Linked DNA regions of Drosophila melanogaster. Changing the gene in region 3 together with the main gene of any one other region gives a genetic interaction. Each region holds a gene or a part of one and is shown on either strand. Other genes may lie near its edges.

Region 1 (3,718 bases), on a different chromosome or scaffold from region 3:
ATTATTAAGCATAACAAATATAAAATATGCTTTTTATAATGATATTTTCATAATTACAAGTATTGGGCGAACAGATGACCAATGATGTCTGTCCGGTTTTAGCTAGAAAACCCCCAAAATGCCACTGCATTTCCGCGGTTCATTGGCCACTTTCGAGGCGAATTTGGCGCGCAAATTCGTAGCTGAGTCGGCGATTTCCAACTTTCAGCACTTCCGCGGCTGATCCACTTACTACAGGTATGCCCCTCATAAGCACGACAGTTGTTTATGTTTTCGGGTCTAAATACATGCATAGGTCAGTAATTCGAATCACCCTACTCTTAATCATAGTAGTATGTTATTGAAAGACCAGAAGCTTCTTCAAATTGCATGCACATATATATGTACATATTTACATACATATGTTATTGTTATGATCATGGGCTGACTATCAGCTTGGTTGGGTTGAGTTAAACATATCACCTGCCCAGATGCACAGATGAAAACAAGTGATCTTAACCTAAATATAACCCTTCTTATTTTGCCTTCTTTAGGGTTGTATACTTTTCATAGCTTTTTACTTTTTTTGTCGTAAATCTTGCTGAATTACATGCTGCAGCTGCCCAGGAATTGTTTTCAATTCTACGCTGCACGCTCAGCAGTTTGTTCAACTCCAAAAAACCAAAACACATGTATGTATGTATGTACATACATATGTAGGCATCGATTTTCAGGTGCTATTTATAGCCTTAACAAAACCTGCGAACCTATGCTGATTCGGCGATTAAAGTAATAATTAATTACTAAAGTGCACGGCCAGCGGTAGTTGAACCCCTTAGGAGAAGCGAGCTGGAAATTCCGCCGGATGGCGTAGTTCTCGGGTTCAATTGATAAAACTCAGTGGCGATCTCGACTGGCGATTCCGACACGTTCCCACGTGCCGAATGTGCAGCGCGGAGGGGGGGAATTTAAAATTGGAATGCCGCGATAAATTGATTAGCAACTCCCTTTGTGTTTGGACATGCGATTCTGTTTGTCCGGCCGTCTGGCCAAATGCAAAAAGAATAAGATCGTGCGAAGCCTGGCCAGAAATAAAATTCGGGTTAACTTGGGTAAGTAAGGTCATTCGTTAATCATACGCCTAGTATACGCGAGTTGCGCATACGTCGCGTTGGTCGCCGAGATGCGACACACTTGGACCTGTTGCTCGCCATCAGCCATCAGGTATTAGTGGTCCATTCACGGGGTTCTGGCGAAATGTATGTACTAAATTTAAGAAAACCGTTCAAGTGAAATTTATTTACGAATTTTTGTTCGAATTTTGATGAGCAAATTGCGATTTACTCAAAGCATGTTCGCACACGATTTTTTCGCGCGAAAGATAATGAAAGCGAAGCTCTTACTTAAGGGAGACACTTTCCCTGCCTTTGCGAGTGGGAGAGCCGAGTTTCCGGGGGAGCCAAGTTTCCTGACCCCATTTGGAGCGTCCAAAACTGCAGATTGCAGTTTGGGTGTGATGGAAAGAAACCCCCAATCTGCTAATTGCCGCGACATCAACGGAAATCTTTCGGATCCCAAAAAAAGTAATGAAAAAACCCGATTTGGCTGAAAGAGCGCAAGAGCGGGAGAGCGAGCCCCCCTAAAAAGCTCTCGCTCTCGCATTTCTGATGAAATTCAGTGGAATTCTCAGGCGGCGGAGAGCGCGGCTATAAAAGCGTTCGCTCGCCAACCGAAAGCATTCATTGTGAAATTGCCACTCAAAATTGAAACAGCGCGGACAAACGGTTGAAGAAACACAAAGCCCAGTGCGAAAAGAATTTCATAAGCAAAAGTTAATCGGGTGCTAAACAAAAACACTCGAAAGCAAAGCAAAGCATAGCAAAAGCAACAACAAACAGTGCCAGCTGAAAGTGCCCAAAAAGTGGAAGCCAACGGCTCGAAAATAACACAAAACCCAAAGCAAACGCACAACCAAACGGATAACACCCACAATATGGTCGTCGAGGAGAACTGCAGCATGCACCACCTGGAGCGCGAACTGGACCTGGAGCTAGAGATCGATATGGCCATGGAGTGTGCCCCCATCGGACGCACCATCAAGTCGGCCCTTCTAAGGGCCCAGAGCGAGGCGCGTGTGATCGTGGGCCTGTCCGCCGCCATCAACGTGCTCTCCAAGTCGCCGGAGGGATCCCTCTTCTGCCTGATGGCCCAGCCCAAGGACGGCGACTCTGCCACCCACATGCACGAGGTACTGCTGGAGGCCTTTTGCTACGAGAACGACATCTACGTGATCAAGGTGGACGACGCCACCAAGCTGAGCCGCATCCTCGGCCAGGACTCCGTCGAGTCGTGCTGCCTGGTCCAGAAGGTCTGGGCCGACGCCCCCGAGGAGCAGCTGACCAAGGCCGAGAACCAGCTAGTCGACTACTGCGAGGCCCACTGGGACGCCCCCCAGCAGCCCATTGTCCAGCTGCCGGCTGTGTAGGCGCGTGTGAGCGGGACAGCCAGATGTCACAGAATTGAATGGCCCCGCACAGTGGGCGCAAGCAAACTCTAATGGAAACCAGTTGCTGGGGGTTGATGGCCCCGAACGTCTTGGAGAGTTCCCGAGGGAATCCGACGTTTCGTGGCGCTGCCAGAAGCCCACCGGCACATGTACACCTACATAGGATATATAGAATACGACATATGTATATACCCTAACCTGCTGTATTCAGGAAGCAGGAGAGGGAGGAGGGGAGCAGAGATGGATAAGCCGGCGCCTTGGCGGATAATTGAAACTGAAAGGCGACCTTCGAGGCGGCAGTAACTGCAGCTGAGATACCCGCGGAAGTCGCGCACAGATACTCACGCACACAGCCAAGGAGCAGCATCACACACAAGCGCGTGACCAGCTGCCGAACCAACAAAACATATGTGCACATATGTACACAGAACCATACATAAATATAGCCAATTTGTTTCTGTATAATTTTCGCTTTAAGCGTCGCGCAAATTTACTGATAATGACAATTATTCTGTACGCCGTAAATTGTAAATTATACTTAAAAGGAGAGCAGCCAATTGCATGTATACCATTAAAGTTTTGTTATGTTAGCTTTTCCAAAAAAAAAACATCAGATGAAAGCACACAAAAAAATGTTATCTAACTTAAGCACAAAAAGAAAATTGAAAAAGGTTTGAAAAAAACTGATAAAAAATGAAAAATAAAAATCTTGTATAAAAACCAAACTTTCTTCGTCTTGTTTTTTGCCCATCCCTTTCAGCACTCTCTTCCAGCAATCCAAACTGACGTCAATGGGTACAAATCCCTTGGATTTGGATCGGGAGGCCGCCCGACTCATCAATCTTTGCATAACTGCCGGGGTTTCCCCATCGAGCGTGCCTTGCATATAGGGCCCCATCGGACGCCTTATCAATGAATTCTCGGAACCCAGTGGAATGGAAAACACGCGTGAGCGCCGAAATCGGGGCCATCCATCTGGGGGAGACTGGGAGAAGCCCTCGGCTCGAAGTATGCAGTTTTATCAACTTAGATAATGGGTGCGAGAATAGTCAGTTTGCCTAGTTAATTGTTCCCATCACTGATCAGTGGGAAAGTCAATTAGAAGTATGGGTCATGCTTATAGGGGGAAAAAAGTAAAGCACCGTGGAGCACTTGAGTTAATCAGAGTCAATGGGCGTTATAAAAATCGTACTGGGATATTTACGATCCAATGAACGAGACAATTTCATACGA
Region 2 (7,117 bases), on a different chromosome or scaffold from region 3:
TTTTCAGCTGGTTACGATGCTGTCGCGATTGCCCTGTACCGCCAAGCTGTCTATATTCCACCCAACCCACCCAGAGAAAAGTCCAATAATAGTGGTGGTTGCTGCTTTGTTTTGTGCAGTGCCTCAGACAAAAAAGTGCCAATTGTTTTTGGGCCGAGAGTTATTGACACGCCTCGACGGTGAGCGCTTCACAGTTGGCCGCTTAAACAAGTGGGCGTGAAGGAATCCCATTAAGGACGATCGCCACCCTTCCGAAACGGCAGACAATCCTGGCCATCGTCATCCATTCATCCCCGCGGCGTGTCGGCAATTTAAACTAATAATCAACGCATCAGCAAACATTGTCGTTATATTCACAGAAGCCTGTGGCGTTTGGCGGTGACTCCTTACAGATTGCAAGCTATGATTTTCACTCACATGCAAACCAGGTCTCTATAGGGTTCTTCAATCCTAAAACTATTGTTACAATTTTGCCATAAATCCCAATGCCATGCTTTATTCAAGTACACTGTTTAAAAATCGTGGAATTTCACACTATTTTTAATTCGATTTCTGCTCTTTCATTTATCACATTAAAGTATAGTTTTACAATCATATATTACATAAAAGTGGACATGTTCTCGATGCCTTAACAAATCTAATGTACTTTAGATCTAATAAGCCATTTGTTTGGGTTCCAGAAATTGATAACAAAGATTGTGAAATCCTTAAATTAGGTATGAATAAAACCATTTAAAATGTGTTTTAAGCTGATTCAAAGCTGATTAATTCAAAGATTTATCGAAAGAATTGAGTTATTCATATAACAACATATCAATAAAAATATTAAGTGCAGTTTAAGTAATATGTACGAATTCAAATGATGTTGTGAATTTTAATAAAATGTCAAAAAATATATATAAAATATATATATATAAATTATAAGAGACTACTAAGTGTTATTTCTTAGCTAAGATTTTTTAAAATTTCTTTGATTTAAAATGTCTATTGCTTTTCGAGGCCGGACTTAACTTCATTATTTGTCAAAAAATGTCAGTAAATTGAGATTTTGAATGTAGTTTTAAAATTAATCATCTAAAATAGTGAAGCAGCACTAAATCAGAACCAAAAACATAATTATAGTAGCAACTAAAGACGTGCATTAATATTCGTCTAACACTAGGCTCTAACATTAGGACTTTTAACTTTTGGAGAGGAATGGTAAAGTTTACCATCCAAATTCCCTCTGTGGTGCTCATCCTAGACCACGTGTTCCGCGGATGAGGAGGTGCCGGCGCCGAAGCGCAATGGAGTCGGTCAAATGATGTTTGGCGGACTGGCCGCGCTGGCCACTACCGCATTTGGTGAGGACTTCTCTGACTTGACGCATCCGTAGGATGAGATGCCGGTACCGCTGCTGCTGGGCGGGGAGGGTGGAGTTTCCGGACTTATCAGCGGCAGATATCGCCACGGGTGGTAGATGGAGCCGGCGTACATCGCCTGGAGGCGCGCCTGTAGGTCCAGGGCCAACGTGGGATCCAGTGGATAGTGGGCGAGGCCGGGAAAGGCATTCGGCAGGCGGGGCAGCGATAACTCCAGTGGCGAACCAAAACCGTACTTGGCGCTCAAGGTGGCGGCGGCCAGCTGGACATGATGTGGATGAGGATGCGGGTGGTGTGGATGCGATTGATATGGTGACTGGTGCGGATGTCCGTGGAGATGTGGCAGCGACTGACCCAAGGGCGACAACTGGGGCTGCATATCCTTGGGGGAGCCAACTGATCCTGGGCCACTGGGACCGGAGTTACCCGCACCACCAGCGTTGACACCACCGTTGGCACCACCTCCACCGCCGCCACCACCACCACCTGGCACCGGTGACTTGTTGAGCGTCTTGGGCTTGCGACGTGGTCGATACTTGTAGTCGGGATGTTCTTTCATGTGCAGAGCCCTGTAAATTAAATAAATGTTGAAACACTGATCAAAAGATCGAACGATTTAAGCTTTGATGATATCATAAAGTCAGCCATCTCTGGTCGTAAACCCCAAGAGAAGCGGAACCCTTCCATAAACCCCACGCCAGGCAGATACAAAATGCACAAGTTTATATTGTGTATTTAGCGAAGAACCAGCACTCCGATTCCAACTTCGATTCTCTTTCCGATTTCCCAGCTGCAACAATGCGCAATTGTTGACATTTGTTTGACATAACGATAAAACCTGATAAAAGGTGTGTTTGGGTCGCCTCCTCTTGTTTTACTTTCGCTTTTCTTTATTTTGTTTTCCTTTCTTTGGTCAGTTATGGCCTCCTTATCGCGGGTCCCGAAAAAAAATATTGTTTTCCTTATCATCGCGCATTGGCAAATATTTGATCAGAATTTTTGGTTCTTTTCATTCGATATGCTCGCTCGAAAACCCCGAATGGCCATTAGTTTAAGCCCCTTCTGACGAGCCCTGATCATTTATAAATGTCATAAAATGTAAGTAAAATTTAACATTTCCATTTTGGCAGGCCAATCCAATCAATAAAAGGATTATGACAGTGCAAACACAGAGGTTCGTCATCATAAAAGACCGCACTATCTAGGAAGGCATAGAAAAAACGAACTTGTGAGATACGGCATTTCTGGGAATTCCTGTGGTTTAAAAGTGCACTGCAAATTTTGATTCCATTTATACCAATACAACTTATTTAAAAGCTAGTTTTATAAAAAATAAAATAATGTGAGATATCACTTTTGTACTTATTTGTAAAATGCTCGCTTTTGAGTATATTTCTTGTACAAAGAACTCCATTCTAGCGGTATTTTCAGTTAATCCCGATAATTACGTTTATTAAAACTAAGCTCAAACTGAAATTACTCAAACCCTTTCGAAAGGGTACACTGAATGGGTTAAGCACACAAAAAGAAGCAAAATGCAAAATGAATGGAGCATTTCATGCGACGTGTTGCCTCGCTTTTGTGTGACAACTTCAATTGAAATGTTTACCCAAGATATGGCAGTGCCAATGAAATTCTGACTAAGCAGAGCGGACACAATCCCCGACTCCAGAGCTCCGCAATTCAGCAGGAGCTCCTCACAATAGGTAGCCTTTGTCTTAGCTAATCGATCAAATTTTGTGGCCAGACGGCATCTAGTGAGAATGAGCTACCAACTGGGAAAATGGTAACCGAAACCAAGCCAGAATTTCCCATCCAACCTACACCACTCTGCTCCTGCATAAGCCGGCACAGAAAAAAAATGTATATCGTGTGGACTGAATAAAATTGAATAAACAAAGTAATTCTTATATCCAAGAATAGAAAGCGGAGGTAACTACAAAAAATACAAGAACTATGTTTTTCCTAGTTTAAATTAATATAGGATTACTGCAATATGATAATCTGTGATTTTTAACATCAATGGGATCCATATCTTTTTATTTTTTTTAAATATAACTTCGCCCTAATAAACCCTATTAATAATAGACTTGGAAAATTAACTTTTGAATTGAAAGGTAAGGACTTTTCCAGGTAAGAAAATACTCTTATTTCTGTTTACAAATTTAGTACATACATATTTTCTCAGTGCTTTTTAACCAGACCCCAGTGAACAATACTTACCGCAATCGTTTTGCCTCGTCGATGAATGGACGCTTCTGTCCTTCGGTGAGTAATTTCCACTCGGCGCCCAGGCGTTTTGATATTTCAGAATTGTGCATTTTTGGATTGTCCTGGGCCATTTTGCGACGCTGCCCCCGCGACCAGACCATGAAAGCGTTCATTGGTCGCTTAATGTGGTCGTGGCTGTTGTGATGGCTTCCAGTATTCGAATTCGAGTGGCTGGTCGGGGCATTATGGTGGGAGTTGCCATGGTGGTGCGTGTGCTGGTGCATTTTGGGTGCCACCGGAGTGGGGGCCGCTGGCGGAACGGCGAGGTCAGCTGGCGGCATCGGTGGTGGGGTGGTGTTTCCCGATCCAGAGCCTACTCCCACACTCATACCCATGCCCAAGCCACCGACCATGCCCAAACCCAAATTGATGCCGGGCAACTGCGGTGAGAGACTGCTGCTATGGCTGTGATTGCTACTCCCGCTGCTCGTGTAACCATTGCTGTGGCTGTGGCTCCGATGGAGCAGGGCCGAGATGCTCGTCATGATGCCGGGCGCGGAGTCAAGGGACTCCAATGGGGGTGCAGGTGGTAATTATCAGGTGGTAGTGCTGCAGCTGCTCCTCGAGCTCTGAAATGCCAACGGAAATGGTATTCAATAGATATGCCTTGTTAGCTTGGGGACTCTGTCTGCTGCTCCCTGCATGAGTCATTTGATTGGAGCTCTTCGCACTGCGAATAGCTTACCAAAAATATGCACAATGGAACTCCATTTACCCCTTCTAATGTGTGTGTACAGGGGGCTCAAAATGGTGTCCCGGTTTTATGACAAACCAATTTAAATATTTACCAGTAATTCAAATCAGTTTTCAGTATTGAGTATTTGCAAAATTGGGGATTTCCCTTAAATTAATATTATCCAAAATATATTCCTTGAAGAACGTATATTTGCATATTAACAGTACTGCCAAATTCGATTTCAAATGATGAATTAATTAAAGATTGGATTGGAAAATGATATATTTTTTAAAACAGGCTTTTCTAACATTGAAAATTGCAAATATTCATAAAATTCATTATATATTTCATATCCTTATAAATCTTTTGGTTTCTTTTTTAAGAAAATATATTTGTTCGCTTATTTCGCTTTTTTAAAGTGTTTAGTTTTTGGGGAGGAGTGTGCAATAGTTTAATTTAGAGCACAGCTTTTTCTTCATTTCATATTTAAATATTCGAATTGTTTACCTAGGGACCTTTTCTCATCATCATAATTAGCTTACCTGTATTAATTGTCTTTTAATTTCTCCCTAATAAAGTTTAAATTTGGATTCCATCCGATGCGTGACACTTAACTATCTAATTAATTGCACAAGAGTTTACGTTGCGATCGAGTTCTTTTTGTTTATTAATATTACTAGGTTAATTATTGTTGATCGCCATTAGAACTCCTAAAAATACACAAGTGCACTGATATGAATTTTTAACTTATTTTCCAAACAGTTCGAGATTTATAGAGCCTCGAATTTACGAACGTTGAAAGTATTTAAACCGTTAGACTGCCGATTCACCGTTAGCCGAGCGCAGCGCGTCCGTTTCGAGTGCGCGACAATTTAGATTTGAAAACACATTCGAAAACTTGCGACAAAAACGGCAAACAAACGCAACAAAAAGGGGCAAGAGGAAGAACGTGGGTGTTTGTAAGTATGAGGGTGTCTCTGTAGTGGTTGGTCGCTGCTGCGTCGCTGCCGCCCAAAAGGACCGAGTGGGAGCGAGACAAGGCGAGAGATAGTGCAAGGGAGAAGGGTCGCGCAAGTAAGAGAGAGAGAGAGAGAGAGAGAGCGCGCACATTTTGTAGAGTTTTTTACACCTTCGGAGGACGCGTCAACGTGGCGGCTAAGTGATAAAAATTCGCTGCTGCTGCTTTGTATCTTTGTATCTGCGTTTTGTATCTTATTGACAATAGTCTCCGGGTTTGTTTTCGTTTTGTGTGCACGTTTGCATTCTTGTTTACCAAACATTGCTCCTTTTGCTCTTCGCCAGTTGATGATATCTGCATTTTTTATCAAAACCGTAACACAAAAATAATTTTGAAAATTTGAATAGCCCAATAACATATTTCATATTAAGCTACCAATATCAATTTTTATTGTAAATATAAATAGTTTTCTTTGAAAAATTCAAGAAAATTCCGGCTAGTTCTGAGAATTTCGCTGCTATATTTATTTACAAAATATTAAATCATAAATTGGTACGTTTATAAAACACTTTATTATTCAGTTCTGTTTTTCTTCTATGCATTTGTGATCCAAATAAAAGGCATAGTTAAACTACTTTATAGCTCTTCTTAACTATGGAATGAGAACCCATTTTTAAGATGTCAAAAAAATGCCTTGATTAGTTTATTTAAATGGAATACAAAACGGAGTGGCAACAATCAATCGAATGAAAAATACACTTTAGCTTTTGAATCTTATACTACAATTAACCAAATATTGGATACTTACTTATATGCATGGTCTACACTATATGGTTATGGCACTATAATTTCTTACTGTGTATTAGACCGGTGTTTGCTCTCACAATCGATCGGTGGCTTATTTGGTATGTTTGCTGCAAGCTTCGGTATCCGCAAGATTGGCCCTTTTTGTTGGCAGGGTTGGGCCGCTTATTTCAATTGCTCTCCTTGTTTGTCACACACAGGAAATTCTCAATTCTTGTTGTTGCTGTACCAATAACGATTTCTGTATAATTGCAACGATTAGAAGCCCTTGATCCCTTAATAGTACCACCTTTATACATTTGCTAAAATTTCTTATAAATGCCGCTCTTTATAATTGACGGTTTCAATGTTCCGCCAACGGAGCTTCTCCCTTGACGAATACTAAGAAATTAGACAATTTTCCCGGTGTTTACAGTGTAATGTCAATAGAAAAGTGTGTAATATGCTAGGTATAGTACATCCGGAACAATAATTTCCCGATCACAATTAATTTTAATTAAATATGCTTTTGCAATAATATTTAACGATTATTGGGACTATTAGCAACATTTCCACAGTATATACTAAATCTTCAAATTAATTTGACCTAGAAAGTAACAAAAACAACATTTTAAAGATAAATGAATCGTCGCAGTGCTTTTTATTTTAAATTTTTTTTTTAATTTTATTGCGTTCCTTGAAAAGGTTAAGGAATAAAGCAATTAAGGATTTTTGCTCTGCATTCCTTGGCATTTTTAAAAAACAACTGTTGGCGCCATAAAAAGATATCTTCCTAAGGGGTTGTTTTGCGCAAGCGTCGCTCTTCAAATGGTCGTAACTTTTGTAGAGTTTCTGCCCTCTACTCCCCGACTTACCCCTCTTTTCGCCCCTCTCCCATATCCTTCTTCACCAAAACAAATGCTAAGTAGGAAACGCATTTGGCGGGTTCCCCCCTTCACCATCGCACAACAATAAAAATGGCAGCGCTCTAGAAATGTGTGTGTGTGTGTGTGTGAGCTGCCCCAAACCTCAACCCCCCACTTAAATCACCCCCAACGCCCACTGCCA
Region 3 (4,981 bases):
TGCATGAAGAGGAAGAGCGAATGAGAGCGATTTTGTTTTTGTTTGCGAAGTTTTTTTTTCCCTGGCAGCAATTCAATTCAACAATTAGCCACTACAACAACAGCACGTCATAAAAAATAACGCTATTTGTAAACATGCGAAAGAGGAGACACGGCACAATGTCCGATGAACGAATGTGGGCAGGGTGCGGCGGAGGTGGGAATATGTGAGGCCCAAAAAAAATGACAACAACAGTAACGGGCATATCAAGACATTACTCCGGAAATGCCAAAAAGTAACCAATGGCGGAGAGCGAGAGAGGAAGAGAGCACCAAACGCGAGTAGAGAGACGCACACATGCAAAAAGTAAATAAAAAGTATGTAAGTAAATAAATAACAACACTTGATGGCAGATGAAAATCCAATAAGAAAAATATACAAGACAAATATGCAAAAACTTAAATGTATAACAAAAGGAAGGGGAAAAGAAACGAAAAAAGGCGGTGGGTGGTCTCACAACCGTGGGCACAATAACGTCATCTCTTACATGAAAAATTTAAAATTTCTATCAATTTAAGCCTCATAAATAATCGAATAACGACAACTTTTGTCTTTAATAAACCAATTTTGTTCTGATAAATTAACATATAGACCGTTATATTTTGTTAGCTATTTATTCATTTAACTTTTGCTCGCTCATTATGTACCACGAACTTGAAAATCTATTCAATAGCTGATTACACTGTTAAAATTTGGGTGTGATTTTAAGTACCCCTGAAATTCGCGGAAACTATTAACCACTACTAATCTAATCGAATCGAAATGTATTTGATTATTCAAAAACCCATTAGGCATTTTCTGGGGTTCATGTATCAAACAGTTATGGTACCAGGAATTGTTAATCTAATCGAGGCGAAAATAAATTGACGCGGTTCACAGCTGTTAATACCACTGTAGATTTGACTTCTTTTTATTTTTGTTTGGCCCAACAAAAGGCCGAAAACAAGTTGGGTACGCTTTTGGTGTTCGCACTTGGCCTGTCTTATCTATGCAATCGGAAAAACAGAACGGGAAATCGGAGGGGGGGAAAAGCGGCAGAGCTACGGGGTTGACGGGGCGCTGCTGAGGTGCTGGAATGGGGGATTATGAGCAGCTGTTATGCAGTCGGGGAATCGATAGCGTTTGCCCTTTGTTGGCGGCATCCAAATGCTCCAAAGTAAACCCAATGGCAATAGCAATGGGAAAAGCCAAGAAAAGAGCACTTCTCTTATCACAATTTAAGCACACATACATGTATGTACACACACACACGCGCACATACACAGCTTATTGGGCAATGACAATTTATTAACAAAATATTTACACAAATGCGGACAAAAGATGGTTTTGTGGCTTGCGGTTGGCGGTACGGTATATATAGATTTTTGGTGACCATTTTTGGGGATCACGATTTTTCTCAGCCCACTTTTATTACCACTTAACAAACTGTCTACAGTTGCGGTCAGAGAAATGTTGGCTTAAATCCACACCTGTCACAGAGGATCAATAAAGATTTCACCTGTCTAATGTTCGATCGATAAAACATTGATCTTTCTGCGAATTAATATCAAAAATGTTGTTTGTGCGTTTGGAAATTTACTTGGAAAGTTTTACCACGTTTTTGGCGGCCAAAACTGTTTTTCGACAACGATTTACTTTCGAAAGTAGAGAATTATCGAATATTCGAATCGGGAAAGTCTCGTTGGAAAATTTTGAGTTACAGTACGCAGTTTGATAAGCTATCATTTTTAGATAGCGGTTTAGAGTATTCCCTGGTACATGGAGTTTAGTTGTGACATTATATTTTGTTATATTTTTCTTCAACGATTTTCAAAGATTCAGGTAACTACAGTGTTTTTCTAGTTGATCCCAATTAATTTTATATATTAAAGATTTAGTAGGAAGTTAACGAAAAGAGGACTTACGCATGGGCAGTGTGGGCGTGGCTCGCGACACTCTAGTTGTCGGCGGGGTGTATGTTCCACCGAAGGTGCCCGTCGCCGGTGCTGCGGATGCAAATGCGGATGCGGATGAGGATGATGACGAGGCGCTGGCGCTGCCGAAGGGCGTCGCATGAGGAACTGGAGGTGCTGGACGCTGGGCTATGCTGATACCCGATCCGGAAACGGAACCTGCGCCCAAGGAAGGTGCGTGGGTGGCGGATGTGGCTGCGGATGCGGATGTCGCCAGGGGCGGGACGCGGGCAGATGGAACGGAACCGGAAACGACAGGGCCGCGCGCACCGGAGAGGACGATCTGGTCGTGGGACTCATTCTGCGCCTGGAGCTTTGCCTCCAAGGATTGCAGCCGACTGCCGATCGTTTCGAACTCAATGGTGGACATTATATCGAGTCGATTTGGTTCGATTTTTTATAGTTAGTTGCTAGTATCGTTGGATTTTGGTATTTATTAAATTTTTTTCGCCGTTTTTTGGCCAGCACTTCTTCGATTTTCCTCTCACTCACTCCCTCTCTCTCACACACACACAAGCGCGCGCAGGCGGGGGAGGGTGCGTGTGTGTGTGAATTGTTTTGCTGTGCGCCCTGTTTGTTTTGTCGCTGATGTTGTTGTTGTTCGGCGGCACACATACACTGTAAACTTTACACTTGCAAAAATAAAGGATTGCTTGGACTTTTGTTGTTTGCCAAGGGGGGGCACAAAAACAAAATCGAAAAAAGGAAAACACAGTCACTGTGCATTAGAGAGAGACATCCTCACCCCCACACACGCACACACACAGGCATACACGCAGCGCCCTCTCTCTCTTTCTTTTTCAGCAGCAACGGCAACAACAACTTGCGATTTTTTCCTCCTTTTTTGGGAGAATATTTCATCGGTTGTTTTCCTTTCGCGGCGCTGTTTGTCGCACTTCTGCAATCGATTCGTTTCGCGACCGCGGGCGGCGGTATCACTGGCACAATTTGATCACTCGCTTTTGTACGTTTTTGCTGCCTAAATCGCGTGTACAATAGTGATGTAAAAAAACATCGATGCATCAGCCATCGATGGTTCTTCGCCGATAATTCTTAATATCTTTTTTCGTGCCTATCGATGGTTTGCAAAACATCGGCACCTCAGAAACAGTTTTCGAACTAGGAACGGCATCTAAAACTATGTAGGATTTTATTTTACCGAGATAGAATAATTTTCAGAGGATATTTCATACAAATATAATATAACTATAATAGATTTTTCAAATTCAAATTGGTCGATTCGAGAGACTTCGTTGTTCTTGTACTTAAAATAATAATATAAGGTCTACCTATTTATTAATTAATAAAATAATAAATTATTTTAGTACAATTCTAAAACATCGAATTCTATATGTTCAGTCAAACTTGCAACATTACGTATCGAAAACGGAGTGACCAAAGTGCTAAAAAGAATCATAAATATACCGAAATGCAACTTAAGATGGGCATCACTTGGCTAGAACTTATTAAGTTTTCCCTTAAAATAAATGTCTATAAATGTATAAATAAAAAATTAAAGAAAATAAACAAACATTAAAAAATAGGTATGAAGAATATACGGAACAACTTTCTAGAAGGCTTACAAAGAGATATAGATATAATCGATACCTAACTTAATTATCTAAATTCGTTGCAGGTGGAAGCAAATTTATTATCGAGGCACTTCGATTTATTTGTATGACGATACTATAGCTGCACTCGTTGGGATATATCGATAGGACCAACTGCGGCTGGCCAGCGCTAGTGGAAAAGAGAGAAAAACGAGAAGAGAAGCGAAAAGCGATCGGTGAACAGTGCAAAAAGTGCGGAAAGGAAAGCAAAGGCAATAGCGAAAGGTTGGGCGGCAAAACCCGGGCCACACGATCCACACCGATCCGATCCCCATATCACCGACCCGCATCCGAATCCTGACCTGACCAAATGCGGTAAAAATAGCCGCACCGCATCGCATCCGATTCGCACCGAACCGCCAAGTCTTGCAGAATCCGCCAGAAAACACCAAGGAAAGTCGTGGAGAGGAGAGGGTATATATAGCATATAGCATATAGGATATAGGATATAGAAGGGCCTACCAAAATGTCCAAACGCCACCGCCTCACGCCCTTTACCATTGCCAAGGAGCCAGAGGCCGCCATGTAAGTCAAAATGGTCAAATCCTGGCCAGAAACGAATTGTGAATTGAACTACATTCGGCAATCCTTTTAGAGTCCCGCCACGCAACCTGGACTCGCGGGCCACCATCCAAATTGGCGACCGGACCTTTGACATCGATGCAGATAGTCTCGAGAAGATCTGCGATCTGGGCCGTGGCGCCTATGGCATCGTGGATAAGATGCGCCATAAGCAAACCGATACGGTCCTGGCCGTCAAACGCATACCCATGACCGTAAATATTCGAGAACAGCACCGCCTTGTAATGGATTTGGACATATCGATGAGATCCAGCGACTGCCCCTACACCGTCCACTTTTATGGTGCGATGTATCGCGAGGGCGATGTCTGGATTTGCATGGAGGTGATGAGCACCAGCCTGGACAAGTTCTATCCGAAGGTCTTCCTTCACGATCTGCGAATGGAGGAAAGCGTGCTGGGCAAGGTCAGCTGGGGAGGATTGGGGGCGGGTCTAATCTTATCGGGCAATCGCCACTATACTATTACCGTACTACTGCCTTTGCTTTACAGATTGCCATGAGCGTGGTCAGTGCGCTGCACTATCTGCACGCTCAACTGAAAGTCATTCATCGGGACGTCAAGCCCTCGAACATACTGATCAATCGGGCCGGCCAGGTCAAGATCTGTGACTTTGGCATCTCAGGTGGGCTGGCATTCTGTGACTTCTTGCCACTGTAATCATTCTAATATTGGACTGACTTTTAGGCTACCTCGTCGACTCCATTGCCAAAACCATTGATGCCGGTTGCAAGCCGTACATGGCGCCGGAACGGATCGATCCCCAAGGAAATCCGGCGCAATACGACATCAGGTCGGAT
Region 4 (7,815 bases), on a different chromosome or scaffold from region 3:
CCAAAGGCGCCCTCACCCAAAATGGAGCCCAAGCTAAGCTGCTGCCTGGGAATCTCCCAGTTTGAGTCCAGCGGGAACTCATACTCATTAAAGCCCTGGGCGGGATCAGTACCGCCAGTTCCCGTTGTGGAAACGGTTGTTCTCTGCTTCTCGATCCTTATCACTGGCATCTGAAGATCGCCGGAGCTGCAGCCACTTCCTTCTTCTCCACCCGGTCGGTATATGATCACCTTTTTAGTCCACTGATGAACCGTTTCGATGCGGAGCTTCAGGAGCTTCTCCCTCCTCAGCCGACGCAGCATGAACGTTATGAAAGCACTGCCCAAAAGGAACAAAGCCACTATCGTAATAGCGGCCAAGGTGAATCCGAGAGGATGGGCGTGCAGCAGGGCGTAGATCTCCAAAGGTGGCAGAGGACTCACTACCCTAAGGTACACACTGGAGTTACTCCTTCCCAGACCACTTGAGGCCAAACAGGTGTACCAGCCCTCCTGGTCAAAGGTCACATTACGAAGCGTTAAAACTACGGAGTCATTCGTCACGGTGAAGTTGAGATTCTGGATTTCCACAGACTTAAGGCCGTCCAAGGAGGCATTCTTGAGGACAACCCTTTTCCAGCTGACTGTTGGATGCAGATCAGAGTAGACGGTGCACTTCATCACCAAGCTGCCATTGACTTTCACCGTCTGATTTTGCGGCACCACGATTATTGGTGCGGATCTCGTGCGATCGTTTATTTGGACACTGAAGTCAAACTGGATGCAGCCCCACGCATTGCACACCTTACAGTTGTATAGTCCAGAATCCTCGCTGGTGGCCTCCACGAAGCGGAGTGTCCAGTTCTTTTGCACATAGACGCCGAGTTCACGGTTTAGCGGCTTCTTGTCCTTCGTCCAGGTGATGTTCGCTTTGCCGTACACTGGACAGGCTAGATTGACAGTATTTCCCGATAATGAGTGCTGTAATCGTTTCAGCTCTTTTCTGAACACAGGTGGACCAACGCCGCCTGATGCTTCCGCTGCTGGATTTTCCACGTCGTCATCGTTGTCCTCTCCGGTGGATGCAGTGGGTATTGGGCTGGCCACGGTGGTAGTAGTGGTCGTGCGAACTGTGGTAGTATCTGAGGGACTGTAAAGATCCACATAGGAGGCGGCCACAGTGCGTCCAACCTGGTTCTCGGCTATGCATATGTACCATCCGCCATCCTCCATCAGGACATTTCCAAGACGAAGTACCTGCGGTTCATCCATTCGGGTAATCAATCGGGTAACATCCACAGGTAGCTGGGACTGCTCTCTTAAACGCTGCAAGAGGTCATCGATGTTGTCCGCATTCCCCTTATGTAGCCACGTGATCTTCGGCTCCAGGGCAGAGTCCTCAAGTAGGCATTCAATGCTCACATTGTCCCCGAGGGCAATGCTGGTATTGCGGGGATATCCGGGCTTTAGCATGGGCACCGTGTGCTTTCTGCTTATCACCTCCAATTGGGTCGGATTACTCCTTTGGCAGTCCTGTTCCACGCACAGCTCACAGTGATAGCTTCCAGCATCCTCCGGCTGCAGTTGCCCCACTGTTAATGACCACCTTTTAAGCTTAATGCGTCCACGTCCACCAAGGATTTGAGTATCATTGTGCAGCCAGGATATATTAACACCCTTTGCATCCGGATCCATGGGACTGCAGTTCAACTGAAAAAGGCCACCTGCGGTCCGTTGTACGGTTTTGGGTAGGGGTTGCAGCAACTTCAGGGATCGACTCTCATTCAGGGGCTGAAAAAAGAGATCTGACTCCGGGAGGGCCGGTGCATCTTCCAACTTGACAAAGCTGGCGATATCATTGCCAACTGGTTCCTTATGGCCAACAACAAGGGAAATATTGTACCATCTGTTCTGACTATCCAGGCAGCCGTAGTTTCCAGAATTTCCGGACTGTGCTCGTTCAAGTCGCAAAAGGGTAGCCCTCAGTTGAAACTTATCCTCATAGAACCATTTGGCCATGGGTCGGACGCACTGCAGCGTGATGTCCATGTCGGAGAGCAGATGGCGCTGGCGGGGACTGTTTTCCACAGTCACATCGATGTAGCAACGATGATGGCCATAATCGCATCCCAGGTCCGCAGCGGCAGAGACGATCGCAATGATCATCACCAGCGTGATCGGCACTTTTGCCATGATTCAAGTGGATTCTCTTGAGTTCAACAGCCACCAAGATCTCGTATCTGGATGGGCACGATCGTGTACATATGGGTTACAGTTGCGGTCGAAATAATATCACTTCCTGTGGGTATCTTCATTCGAGTTCCTCGATTTCAAATCGAGCGTTCTCCAGCTAAAGGAAAGGATTAAATATATGAATTACATGGCATTGATTGATATATTATACTTTAAAAATAACACTTTGGAATTTTGTTTAATTTAACTAAATTTAAGAAGTTATGAATGCAAATATTATTAGCTATTCGTTACTTGAATACCACTATTGTGCCACTATTCTTTTGACCGCAGCTGTATAAGTGGATCAATAAATATTGCCAAATCTCCGCTTCACTTTTTGCCCCTCCCTTAGTTCCCGATCTGTGTCATTTTATTTATTTATTATTATTGTTTAATATTTTATTGCCAACACGGCACACAGCCAAGTCAAGTCTGTCCGCACCGATATGCAAAAATCCAAAGGAGAAGCAACTGAAACAAACGAAAACTGTGTGCCCTGCCTTCGTAATGAGCTGGAAGACGTGGTCGAAGCCACCGAATTGCCGGACACACTCGTCGCCACCCACTACCGAAGGGGATCTCCATTATAACTTGTCTATATTCGACGTTCGCCAAATGCTTTTGTTGCTGCGGCCTGCGCTCCTCGATTTCCATTCAACTAAATGCCGAACAGTTAGAAAATCACTTAGCTATTTGTTGAAATCAGTTGTTACAGTGGTGTCACACTTTTCAGTTATTCCCCAAGTACTATACTTGCACTTACAAAACAAACAGACAAGGTGCTAGAGAATTGCAACAACAAATCGAGAAATACCTAAATGATTTGCCACAATCTGAAATAGCAACTAATTAACATTCAAATTCTCTGTGCAATATGAGCTCAGCATTTTAATCAATTAAAAGGTATATTTATAATAAAGTTATGCTTTAAACACTGAATAACACTGCTCGAAAATCCTAATAGCAGATAATTATTTCAAAATTAATTTTTAGTATAATCACGTAAAGGGTATAGGACAGTGGGTATTCCATCTACTTGGGTTCGTCAAATGTTTGCCAAATAAAAATAAACAATTTTTAGTTCAATGATTAATGATGATAGGGTAAATTCCCAAACTTGTTGTCTGCGAATGTAAGCTTTGTACAAAATGTAAAGTTTTAAACGAAGTTTAGAAAATATTGATAATAATGGGGGCATAGCATAGTTCGACTATTTTTTCTATCAGAAAATTAAAATATTTTTAACTTTTATAAAATCGTTTTGACCACTGTGCTGTTTAATGAAAAGTATTTTATTGTTTGTAAGGCTTGGGACAACCGTTGCGATTGTCATTGTTGTTGTTAATATGGTGCTAGTGCTGCCAGTAATTGTTGTTGTTGTTTTAGCCGATATTGCCGCTAGCCGCTAGCCGTTTGACTTCAGGCCCGATTTATGTATGTATGCACACGCGTCGCAGGTTTTAATTTATTCAATTCCTTTTTTTCTCATTTGTTGCCAAATACGAGTCGATCGCTGTATTTGAAGTATGTATTATTGCTATTTTTATTTAATTTTTTTCTCAGTTTGTCATTCATTCAATATTATTCGATTCGATTTTAAGCCACAAGCGCACATGGCCAAAACCGTTTAGCTCACACCTTTTTATCTTGTGAATTATTATCGAGCGTATAAATCTAATGCATGAACGATTTGATATTTCAACTTGGTCAATCAGCTATATCGAGAATAGAATAAGTTCTTTATTTGGAACCCTGGGTATTAACTCCCCATTCAGTTTTCTTTCTGCAAACATTGACTTAATGTAAAAGGAATGTTTGGATCAAGACATAAATTATTCATTCATACAATTGACATCACTTTAATTTTATTTTCTTATTTATTTCATTGGTGTTTATTTAATTATGTATGAATCAGTTTTATCACGTTTCTTTGTCTCAATTAAAATTTTATTTTTAACATTTGGTTACTTTGCAGACTTTTTGTTTTTATTTATCTGTGGTTTATGATCTTTTGGCTGCACTTGGAAAGATTTGTATTTATTTTACTGCTGGAACAATTCACTCTTAAATTATTTTTTGCTTTATTTTGGTTTCACTGCTGCTTGTCAGTTCGCAGTGGGAACACAATTCTTTTCTGCCATGCCACAACCCCAAATCTTTGACCAAAAAAATCACGTTCTTTGTCTTTTATTTTCGAGGAGCCGGAGAAGGCAAATAAGATTGCAAAAAACATTGTCACTATGTTTATTCGGCTGTCAATCGCGGTTGGGGCTTGTATAAAAATCTTAAGACTCGGCAAGAGGGCAGCGGAAGGCGCCTTGCATTTCCGCTTCGTTGCCAACTTTTATTTCCCTTTACCAGGCATAAATGAAAAGAAATATGTGATGGGTAGCTGGTGTTGGGCGGGGGGGGGGGGGGGGGGTTCACTTCCGTTGCACTAACCGTAATCCGTAAAGTTTGTGGAAGGAGCCAACCGATTGGCTTGAATGTGCGCAAACAACTGAAAGTAACGATCGAAACGGAAGAAACTTTTACGCGGTACGATACGAACGATCCGAACGTGCCGATCGAACCGAACCGATCCAATACGATCCAATACGATACGAAACGAGTGGATATCTGTGGTTCCCTGCGATAATGTTTGCTAGGATCCTGGGCACAGGGTCTTCGGATGGGATGGTATGGGTTCGGACGGCTACCTGATCGAGGTGGTCTCCCTCCCGCATGTTGCAATTGTTTTCGCTGGTAGTTTTCCTGAGCGGTTTCCTTTCTTTTTATTGCTGGTTTGCTGCTGCTGCTTCTGCTAGGTTCTTGTTGGTTTTATTCTAAGCATGTTTGCGGTGGCTTCGACTCGTTGAAATTCTTTATTATCTGGCCTTCGGGTTCCCTCCCTGTTTGTTTGCTTGGCGGCTTAATTTATGCAAAAGAAAATGTGTCCATTGTCTTAGTGGTGTGCAGTACGTGCGCATGCGCGGTAATCGCATATCAATAAGGAAATATCCGTTACGTGACTGATATCCAAAAATCTCAGTTGCTGCATGTGGCATGGCAGCAGCTAGCTCCCGCATAGGCCAAAATCCAGATCCAGATGCCGGGCACGTAATCTACCCAAAAATAGTTAAATGCATTTTTGATGCACTTGTTAGGGGCTATGGGAACAAATGCGAAACAGTTGGGAAATACGAAAAGGAGGGACATACTATCCAAACTAGCTATCAAAAACTTGTTATAGCTAAACACAATTTCCGGTGAATTAATAACCAAACTCACCTGATGTCTTCATTTGTTAAGGAGCCACCCCTTAACAGCACTCATGTTTACCGAGGTCAGAATGCGAAAAGATATTAGTTCTTAAATTTGAACATCTCTTTCTCTTTTTTATACATGTATGTACATTATAATTAAAATATAATATTCTTTCAATTTAACACTCCGGAGTGGTATATGGATTTATACGAAGTAATCATAAAAGAAATTTGGTTTTTATTTTTCAACAAGAAAAATTATGAAATATGTACTACCTAAGACTTGCGTCTTCCAACAAAATGTTCCATTTTCCAGATGTACAAATATGCAAAAAACAATTTAAAATAATAATAATGCTAAGCTTATAAGTCTTTGTCTTTAAGCCAAGGTCGCACGCTTGGCTACAAACTCCCTAGAAGTCTTCTCCTTGTTGGTAAAGCGAGCATACCTACCAAGAGATAATTAAAAAGGTAAGAAGAACAGAAGAACAAAGAAGACATTGTTACGTACGTTCTGTGATATTTGGCCACATCGGAGGCGCTGAGCGAAGGACGAGTGGTTTGGAACGACTCAATCAGGTGCTTCTGCTTCAAGGAAATTTTCTTTGCCAGTTTCTGGGAAAGCAATAAGAAACAAATGGTATTTTATACTGTGGCCAGAGACTAAGAACTACGTGACTAATCATTGTTGCAGGAAGTAGCATAGATTTCACTTTTGATTTAAAAGACAAACACGTAAAGGAGTTTTTACATAGAAGTTACATTTGAAATCAGGATGAGAAACAATAAAACATGAAAGAAACGGTTGAAAGCTTGCATGACCCATAAAGCAGATTGTTTCCGGTGAAAATAATTCCCAGCTCACCTCGTGTCCGAATTGAGCTAGCGCCTCCTTAACCGCCGCCATGTTCGCCGAGGTCAGGATGCTCTGGATATCGGCGCCAGTGTAGTTTGCAGTTTTTCCCGCAAACCAATCGAAGTCCACGCACTCATCAAGGCTCAGTGTTGAACTGAGTGCTTCAAATATACGTACTCTGGCCGGAGCATCCGGCAAAGGACACTCCACCAAGCGATCAATGCGACCGGATCGAAGAAGCGCGGGATCTAGCAGTTCCGGTCTGGAGGTAGCTGCTATCACGGTAACTCCCTGCAGTCCTTCAACGCCATCCAGTTCTGTGAGCAACTGATTTACCACTCGATCGGTGACCCCCGTGGAATCGTGACCACGTTTCGGCGCCAAGCTGTCAAACTCGTCGAAGAAAAGCACACATGGTCGGGCACTGCGAGCTCGATTGAACAGGTTTCGAACATTTTCCTCGCTTTGACCAATATATTTGGCGAGCAACTCAGGACCCTTGACGGAAATGATGCGCAGGTTCCACGATGTGGCCAACTGAGAGACCAGATAGGTTTTACCTGTTCCTGGTGGCCCATATAGAAGTACTCCGGCCTGGTTGCGCAGTGGAGAGGCGTTAAAAATGGTTGGATACTGTAAGAAATTAATGATTTATTAAATTTTAGAAAAAAACATATATTTCGTTTAAAACTCACCCTTGATGGCCACATAAGGACCTCCTCCAGAACTCCCACAACTGACTCCAGGCCAGGCAACTCCTCGACGCGCATTTCATTGGCATCGGCATCATTGCCAGTTCTTTGATTGCTCTGAATGCCCTGCAGGCAGTACGAGTTTGTGTGCTCCAGGGACTCAATAAGCTGATCATTGGTCAGAAGAGGCTGGGTCTTGCCTGGAAAAAAGGGAATTTAACATGATAAAGTTGCTTACTAACACTACAAACTACTCACTTATGCGATAAGCATAAAATATTGCACGCTCCACGAACTGAACAAGATCACATTTCCGGTAGCCCTCCGTGAGGTTGGAGAACTTAACAAGATCCAGGTCCTTGGCCACATTGATATGGCTGCACAGCTCTCGAAGAATTATCTCTCGATCTGCTCGTTCCAAATTGGGCAGACGAGCAACAGTCTGGAAGACATGTCTTCCCCTTGGTGAGCTCAATCGCTTATTGAGGGTCTGCAACTCGTTGACGGTGGCGATTACTGCAATAGCGTTGTTGGTGGTATACTGAACAATCAACTGATACACAGTATCCGCCATGCGATTGTAGTACTCTCCATCCTGACTGGACTGCTCTCCAGCAGCGTGGGCCAGTACATCCAAGTTTTCTAGCACAACAATGGCGGGGGCATGCTGCAGGCAGCTGGTAAAAATGTTGCGAAGATCTTTTTGGATGGACTCCGTCTTGCGGCCTTTGCTTCGCGATCCGTGGAAGAACTCGAAGTGACAATAATCCGGCTTGCGTGACAGCTGGTCCAAAATGCGCTCCACAAGA

What was found.
Region 1: of hep (region 3) and Gadd45, changing one suppresses a phenotype caused by changing the other (phenotypic suppression), as found in Drosophila melanogaster (one study listed by BioGRID).
Region 2: of hep (region 3) and Sox21a, changing one suppresses a phenotype caused by changing the other (phenotypic suppression), as found in Drosophila melanogaster (2 studies listed by BioGRID).
Region 4: of hep (region 3) and btl, changing one suppresses a phenotype caused by changing the other (phenotypic suppression), as found in Drosophila melanogaster (one study listed by BioGRID).

What each region holds. Positions count from the first base shown.
Region 1 is NT_033778.4:7,247,449-7,251,166, forward strand, and holds Gadd45 (growth arrest and DNA damage-inducible 45), read left to right. Parts: upstream 1-1,712; 5' UTR 1,713-1,972; coding exon 1,973-2,464; 3' UTR 2,465-3,207; downstream 3,208-3,718.
Region 2 is NT_037436.4:14,102,958-14,110,074, forward strand, and holds Sox21a (Sox21a), read right to left. Parts: upstream 5,162-7,117; 5' UTR 4,851-5,161; intron 4,202-4,850; 5' UTR 4,118-4,201; coding exon 3,585-4,117; intron 1,931-3,584; coding exon 1,297-1,930; coding exon of another isoform or gene 1,240-1,296; 3' UTR 524-1,239; downstream 1-523.
Region 3 is NC_004354.4:13,087,416-13,092,396, forward strand, and holds the start of hep (hemipterous), read right to left. Parts: upstream 3,020-4,981; 5' UTR 2,362-3,019; coding exon 1,944-2,361; intron 1-1,943. Other genes in the region: lic (licorne), read left to right, coding at 4,068-4,126, 4,197-4,587, 4,674-4,806, 4,869-4,981. UniProt on the Drosophila melanogaster protein: Required for the epithelial cell sheet movement called dorsal closure (DC), which allows establishment of the dorsal epidermis. Controls the expression in the dorsal epithelium edges of another dorsal closure gene, puckered (puc).
Region 4 is NT_037436.4:14,073,968-14,081,782, reverse strand, and holds the start of btl (breathless), read right to left. Parts: upstream 5,970-7,815; intron 5,908-5,969; coding exon of another isoform or gene 5,838-5,907; 5' UTR 5,735-5,837; exon of another isoform or gene 5,660-5,734; intron 4,719-5,659; exon of another isoform or gene 4,656-4,718; intron 2,329-4,655; 5' UTR 2,172-2,328; coding exon 1-2,171. Other genes in the region: Pex1 (peroxin 1), read right to left, coding at 5,838-5,907, 5,970-6,073, 6,324-6,947, 7,010-7,206, 7,265-7,815. UniProt on the Drosophila melanogaster protein: May be required for patterning of muscle precursor cells: generation of mesodermal and endodermal layers, invaginations of various types of cells, and CNS formation.